Linked DNA regions of Arabidopsis thaliana. The protein of the gene in region 1 interacts with the protein of each later gene in a pairwise test. Each region holds a gene or a part of one and is shown in the gene's direction. Other genes may lie near its edges. The genes, in order: ZIM and NF-YC2.

Region 1 (3,923 bases):
TGGTTTTTGGCAGCTACGTCTTGATTTATTTCACCATTCTGTATACGAGGCGCCGTCTAGGCATTGTGACGAATGAAATGATGGATGTACCCAAATGGAGATTCGCAATCATTGGTTTTCTCGAAGCTCTTGGTGTTGCCACTGGCATGGCTGCAGCAGGTATCCCATTTATAGCATGATTGAAACTTTACATATTTATAAGGTTACATATGGAGTGATTCCACTCTCTGTTGCAGCAATGCTTCCTGGACCAGTTATACCCATTTTGAATCAGGTCTTTTGGTTTTATGATTATCTTCTTGCTCATTTGTTCTCATGGGGGTGTTGAACTCATGCCTCCCAATGTTTGGCAGACATATTTGGTGTGGCAGCTGCTTTTTGCTCTTCTTATTTTAGGCAGGAGGTTTTTGCTTAACCAAATTGCTGGTTGTCTCCTTGTGGCTGTGGGGGTTGTGGTGGCTGTTTCAAGGTATTCCTTCCTCCCTCTTCTCTTCTTCTAAAGTTACTTTTATCTTCTTGGATCTGGATGCTTGATCTTGGGGTAGAGAAATGTTTGTGTATCCGTGGTCATTTACAGATTATATCAAGAGAGTGCTTTCAGCTCTTACAATCTAGAAAACTAGTTTTCATGGACCAGAGTCACACCTATCAAATTCACCATGCTAAATGAATGGAGACGGCTCTACTTTAGTATTTATCATCCACATAGCAAATAGAAGGCCCTGATTCTAGAGAAGCTTGTGTGATAGTGATACTTTCATTTTTGTGAATGCTGACTGTAACTCATCTGCAGTGGATCTGGTGCAGATACTACGCTATCTGGAATCGGTTTCTTATGGCCTGCTGTATTGGTAGCATCCGCTGCTTTTCAAGCTGGTGCATCTATCATAAAGGTGAAGGTCGCTCTCTCTTATGAGTTGTGAACATTTCTATTTTATTTTCTTTTGCCAAGACCCAAGTTGTTAAGTGTTTTGTCTGTTAACAGGAATTTGTTTTCAATGATGCTGCAAAGCGTCTTGAGGTATCTCCCTTATCCCCTGCATCAAACAGGAATGCTTTTCTTTCGAAACTTTGCTGAATTAACTCTAAGATTAACTGGTGGATGCAGGGAAAGTCACTGGATATATTTGTGGTAAATTCATTTGGATCTGGATTTCAGGTATCTACTACTACAATATCATGTTGTAAATGTATTTGTTACAGCCAAAACAATTAGACATGCTTCTCCATTACATCAAGAGTACGTGAAGAAAACATTTGAAAGCTGCTTTCCTCTGTTATTCACTTATTATCTCTCTCCTACTTGAGAAGAGTTTTTGTTTTTTGGTTTAGTGTTACGGATCACTGAAGCTGTGCTTGTGCAGGCTCTTTTTGTGTTCCTGTTGTTGCCTTTTCTCTCAAACTTGAAAGGCATTCCATTCGCCAGCCTTCCTTCATATCTAAAAGATGGTGCCGGATGCTTCTTCAACACTGGAGCTAAGATTTCTGGTTAGAGACCATTCGACACTTGTTTTTTTTTCCTTCATTGAATTTTATTCACTGCTAAAACTTTGTGATTATCCATTTGAGAATTTCAGGCTGTGATGGTGCCCCTATACTCCCACTGCTCTATATATCCACCAATCTCGCTTTCAACATCTCATTGCTCCATCTGGTGAAAATATCTTCAGCAATCGTTTCCTCTCTTACCATGATGCTCTCAGGTCCATATTTCTATCCTTCCATGCAACGCCTCTTAAGTGTCACCAAATACTCAAACCCATATGAGATAATACTTTTGGTGTTGTTGTAGTGCCATTAGCGGTGTACATAATGTCAAAACCATTGCCGTATCTACCGGGAGGATCAAGCTTGAGCTCAAATTTTACGATGGGGTGTATAGTTCTTGTCCTAGGTCTTCTTCTCTACAACATTCCCACTACTCCAACTAAACAACACACCAAGACCTCCTAACACACTCACTCACCATTCATCCTTTTTGTGCATTACTTTTTTTTTTGTTGATAAACCAAATTCGTGTAATTTCCCAATTTTTTTTCCTTTGACCATCAAAGATACATAGAATATTCTCAGATATTTTTTTTACGTGAAAAACTAGCTTAAAGAAAAAAAAAAAAAAAAAAGAATAACAAGAAGAGAAATTTGTGATTGGTTAAAAATCCAGTAAAGTAGAGTCGTCGGGTCGTCTCGGAAGCAGTGCTGCGATTTTACCTAAAGTCACCTTTTTTTTTTACCGTCGGGTGAATTCGACGACGGTCCTAATCTCGCCTCCTCCACACGCGCCGATCACCATCTCTCTCTGTAATCGCTCTTCTCGATGTCAACTATTTCCTTCTTCCTTTGCTCTTAGGGTTAGGGTTTATTTTGTTCTTTCTCTATATCCTTCAATCAATGTGAAAAAAAAGCTCTCCCTTTTGGCAGTTTCCGATGTTTGGTCGCCATTCGATTATCCCAAATAACCAGATTGGTACCGCCTCTGCTTCCGCTGGTGAAGACCATGTCTCTGCCTCCGCTACGTCTGGTCACATTCCTTACGACGATATGGAAGAAATCCCTCATCCTGACTCTATCTATGGTGCTGCCTCCGATTTGATTCCCGATGGCTCTCAATTGGTTGCTCACCGATCCGATGGCTCTGAATTACTTGTTTCTCGGCCACCGGAAGGGGCGAATCAGCTTACGATCTCGTTCCGTGGACAAGTTTACGTTTTTGATGCCGTTGGTGCTGACAAGGTAATTCTACTCTGTCCCTCTTTTGTTATTTGTGTGAAGTCTCGATGGATGCATCTGAAACATAACATCTGATGGCTTAGGGCACGTAACGATTGCCTCTTTTGCACCTTTGTGCTTTTGCTAGTCTTAACCAAACTTTGGAAATTGATTTCGTAGGTGGATGCTGTGTTGTCGCTGTTGGGTGGTTCTACTGAGCTTGCTCCTGGTCCGCAGGTGATGGAACTAGCTCAACAGCAGAATCATATGGTAACTTTGTTATTTGTGTTCAAATTCTGCTTAAATTGTCACTTCATCTCGATTCCACCTTTTTCAGTTTGGTGTTATTTTTAGCCTGTTGTAGAATATCAGAGCCGCTGTAGCCTTCCGCAACGGGCACAATCCTTGGATAGGTTTCGGAAGAAGAGGAATGCTAGATGTTTCGAGAAGAAAGTAAGATACGGTGTTCGCCAAGAAGTTGCCTTAAGGTCAGTGTGTCAGTCTTGAGTTTTACCAATTTATGCCAAAAGCTGTTACTCTGAACAAAATTCTTTCACCTTTTCTGGGATAAAAATTTAGTATTCTTGTATAGCTAAACTAAAAATTTTCTACTCTTCTGGCTATGCTCTGGTTGCTTAACTACTTCCTCACTTTCGTGTGCTATGGATTGAAAGGAAATCTGTTCATATTCAACTAGTTTACTATCTAGCTAGTTTTCTTTTATTTGTTTCAAGAAGTTTGGTGACCATGTAGGTGTTTATGTAGAGTAGTAGGCTTCATTGTCCATGGCTTGCTGTAGTATTTGACAATATGGTTGTAGTTGAGCAGGATAGACATCTGAGTCTTTGTTAGTGTGATAAGTAGCTTTTACTGGAAATAATCGACATGTCTATTTCAATAATAAGGGATAGGATTTGTCACCTTCTCTGCCTCTCTGACCTTTGTTAGTGTTTATCAGAATGGCACGTAATAAAGGTCAATTCACCTCTTCAAAGATGACAGATGGGGCTTATAACTCTGGCACAGATCAAGATTCTGCCCAAGATGATGCCCATCCAGAAATATCGTGAGTTCTTTCTCTTCTCTGCCAATTAACTGTTCCTGCAATTTTTGTTTTCCACTAATGTGGGACATTTTGTTTGCACTTATTTTAAACGTGAGTGTGTCTTATGTAGGTGTACTCATTGCGGCATTAGTTCCAAATGTACACCAAT
Region 2 (3,923 bases), on another chromosome or scaffold:
AAACTATCTGAGACCGGACGTGAAGCGAGGCAACTTTAGCAAAAAGGAGGAAGATGCTATCATTCACTACCATCAAACCCTTGGAAACAAGTTTGTACTCTACCTATTCATCTAATTTCTTTATAATAAGACAATATATAGTATGTAGAGACTAATTGATATATGTGATCATCAGGTGGTCAAAGATCGCGTCCTTCTTGCCGGGAAGAACTGACAACGAGATCAAAAACGTGTGGAACACGCATCTCAAGAAACGACTCACTCCATCTTCTTCTTCTTCATCCCTCTCTAGCACTCATGACCAAAGCACAAAAGCAGATCATGACAAGAACTGTGACGGGGCTCAAGAAGAAATACATTCAGGGTTAAATGAGAGCCAAAACTCAGCTACTTCGTCACATCACCAAGGCGAGTGTATGCACACAAAACCAGAGCTTCATGAGGTTAATGGACTCAACGAGATCCAGTTCCTGCTCGACCATGATGACTTTGATGATATAACCTCTGAGTTTCTTCAGGATAACGATATCTTATTTCCGCTAGACTCTCTTCTTCATAACCACCAAACTCACATTTCAACCCAAGAAATGACTCGAGAGGTAACCAAATCGCAATCATTTGATCATCCTCAACCGGATATCCCATGCGGATTTGAAGACACAAACGAAGAATCCGACTTGAGGAGACAGCTGGTTGAATCAACCACACCTAACAATGAGTACGACGAGTGGTTCAACTTCATTGACAACCAAACTTACTTTGATGATTTTAATTTCGTCGGAGAAGTATGTCTATGAATGTCAATAATATATGCATGACCAGTGTTGTATCCACTTTTGAATGTTGAGTAAATTACTATTTTACATGGATTGCCCATGCATTGAGAAGATGCTATGTTTTATGAGAGCTCTATGATATTGGTTCGTTTTTCGGCTAGATTCACACAAACAACTCTTCTCTTTTCCTTCTCGATCACTCTTATGGCTGCTCTCAGAGTCTCCGTTTTCAGAGGCCAAAACAGGTCGCAGGTTGATGGCTGGCAATGGCAGCATCGACTGCTTCCGGTGTGTCGAGATCAGGCGCCACACCAAGCATCAAGTCCTGAAATCGAATTAGGTGTGTGTAAGTTTCTTAGCCTAGATACAAACAACAAGAAATATGACTCCAACTGTACTCATCATTTCAATCACTTGATATTTGCTTCCTGTAAGGGCTTCAATGTCAAAAGCTTCTGAATTATCCTAAGTCCATACATATTTGAGAGACTGAGACGGTCTCAGTGAGACCAAACAGAAGAAGAAAAGAAAAGAAAAAAACAGAACAAATACTACAAAGAATACACAAACTTTTGATTCTTGCTCCAACCGTTTATTAAAGCACATGACCTGTTTGGGATCATCACATATCACACTAGAATCACAAAAACTACAAATTTCACAGCTCCGAGCACGCAATGATTAACAGAAATCCGACAACTACACCAATCTCTTACAGATTAAAACACAAAGAAGAGAGCTTGTGTAAGTTAAACACGTATGGTAAATACATTAGCAGTAAGAAGATACCTTGGCTTCTGAAAAGTGGAGCAATTGTGGACTTCACATAGAGGGATGGAGGAGACTGTTCTGCTCCTTACAGAACAAAACTAGCGACGACTCTGCACATAATTATCGGCATAATTAAACAAAGTCTGGCTCTTTCGAACCCCAAAGAAGAGTGGCGATAGCAAAGATGGATCCTTTGCCTCTGCAACTTCTTTCGATGGTTTCCTTTCCTCTGCTTCCCGTTTCCCTTTACTCTGTTGACAATTAGGGTCAAGTTTTGATCCGGCCCGGGTGATTTACAGCCCACAAGGTCCAATGGGCTTCTTCGAAAATAAGTTTGCGCGACGTTGCAAATGTCACGTGACTTTTGTTCACGCGCACTTCACGTGTTCTTCGTTATTCTTCGAAACCGTCCGATAAAGAAATTTCTGGAATAACACAACATAACCAATGAAAAGCATACAGGTGGAAGTAACGTAAAAACTCCCGCTTTTTCGACACGTGTCAACTAGGCGGAAGATACGCACCACCAGAAACGCTTGATAAAAAGCTAACCCGCCCCAAACCCATTTATCTTAGGGTTTCGCGAGATCTCACTCTCACTGGTATGTCTGTGTTTCTTCTTCCATTTTCTGTTTCTATTGGAAACTTCTCTCTCCAATTTCGTTTTCTTCACTTCTTTGATCCTTTAGCTTTGACAAAACCGTAGTAAAGGATCAAAAGTTATCATCTTTGGTCCATGTTGTGAATCGTGCTCTGCTTGGGTCGTGACTCCCAAATCCGGATTTGAAACCAGCATATCTGAGCTTAATTCGAGCATGCATGCGCTTCTTTTTTTCTGATTTTTTTTAGACTTTGGTTCTAAATCCCTTAACTTTGGATTAACTGTCAATCTACAATTTTATATTAACAGAGATAGCTTAGCAATGGAGCAGTCAGAAGAGGGTCAACAGCAACAGCAACAGGGAGTGATGGATTATGTACCTCCTCATGCTTATCAGAGTGGGCCAGTAAATGCAGCTTCCCATATGGCATTCCAACAAGCTCACCACTTCCACCACCACCATCAGCAGCAACAACAGCAGCAGCTTCAGATGTTCTGGGCTAACCAAATGCAAGAGATCGAGCATACCACTGATTTCAAGAACCACACCCTTCCCCTAGCCCGCATCAAGAAGATCATGAAAGCTGATGAAGATGTGAGGATGATCTCTGCGGAGGCTCCTGTGATTTTTGCCAAGGCCTGTGAGATGTTCATTTTGGAGCTCACTCTACGTGCTTGGATCCACACCGAGGAGAACAAGAGGAGGACCTTGCAGAAGAACGACATCGCCGCTGCCATTTCCAGGACCGACGTGTTTGATTTCCTTGTGGACATAATCCCGAGGGACGAGCTGAAAGAAGAAGGTTTAGGCGTGACCAAAGGGACCATACCATCGGTGGTGGGTTCCCCGCCATACTATTACTTGCAACAACAGGGGATGATGCAACACTGGCCCCAGGAGCAACACCCTGATGAGTCTTAAAACTTTTCCCCTTTCGTTTGTTTGGTTGTATCGTAGTAAGGTAGCTCTGCTCTGCTGGGAACCATTTCTATTGTGTTCTGTAATGACATGTTAGTATATCCCCAGTCTATATCTATGGCAATGCAGTTTCTGTTCTCATGTGCATTAAATAATAACAAGAATGATAGAAAGAAAATCACTACTAGTAATGCCCAAAACTTTACTTCACAGGAATTCAACTATACAGCTTTCATGTGATTGCTACTTTACAACCATTTTCTTTATGCTATTAAAAGCTTGGCTCCTATTCCTTTAAAGTTTAAACCTTGTCATCCTCCACATCTCCCTTAGTGGATAAAACCTTAACTTACTTGAACATGGATCCAAAGATACAAGTCCCTTCTCGCCATTCCAGTTGCAGTCAGGTGGTTTATATACCGAGATACCGAGAGCTTATCTGCTTCGGTCTCCATGCATTCCAAATGAGTTTTTTTTTTATGGGCTGTCCGTATTAGTAATAAATTACAGAAAATGCTGGTGCTTCAATCATTTGCTTGAAGACATGGCTTCCTCAATCCTTCTAATCACAATGCTAAGAGGACTTCCCACTTGGAGAGCTTCAACAGCGGCCCTATGTGCTGCCTTGTGCCACTTGAGTAGATTGTAAGATTGTAGAACAGACCACCTGGCTTGATTCGACATCTGTATGATCAAACGCACAGATTCGCAATGCTTAACAATCTGTACACTTGTGCAAGAAAAGTGGAAGCACATATTATACTAGTCAAATCAGATATATATGAATTTCATTAGTCCTGACCTGAGCTACGGATAACGGTGGTTCCAGAAGGACTGAGATGCTCCTGAACAGATT

What was found.
Region 2: the proteins of ZIM (region 1) and NF-YC2 interact in binary tests that used the Arabidopsis thaliana proteins (3 or more experiments, as listed by UniProt).

The regions. Positions count from the first base shown.
Region 1 is NC_003075.7:12,643,358-12,647,280, forward strand, and holds the start of ZIM (GATA-type zinc finger protein with TIFY domain-containing protein), read left to right. Parts: upstream 1-2,206; 5' UTR 2,207-2,427; coding exon 2,428-2,733; intron 2,734-2,889; coding exon 2,890-2,979; intron 2,980-3,063; coding exon 3,064-3,197; intron 3,198-3,667; coding exon 3,668-3,775; intron 3,776-3,884; coding exon 3,885-3,923. Other genes in the region: CLT2 (CRT (chloroquine-resistance transporter)-like transporter 2), read left to right, coding at 14-159, 237-274, 354-469, 794-893, 986-1,021, 1,109-1,159, 1,365-1,488, 1,578-1,703 and 1 more. UniProt on the Arabidopsis thaliana protein: Transcriptional activator that specifically binds 5'-GATA-3' or 5'-GAT-3' motifs within gene promoters.
Region 2 is NC_003070.9:21,022,648-21,026,570, forward strand, and holds NF-YC2 (nuclear factor Y, subunit C2), read left to right. Parts: upstream 1-1,834; 5' UTR 1,835-2,149; exon of another isoform or gene 2,150-2,457; 5' UTR 2,458-2,470; coding exon 2,471-3,070; 3' UTR 3,071-3,255; downstream 3,256-3,923. Other genes in the region: MYB72 (myb domain protein 72), read left to right, coding at 1-90, 176-797; AT1G56180 (ATP-dependent zinc metalloprotease), read right to left, coding at 3,596-3,751, 3,870-3,923. UniProt on the Arabidopsis thaliana protein: Stimulates the transcription of various genes by recognizing and binding to a CCAAT motif in promoters.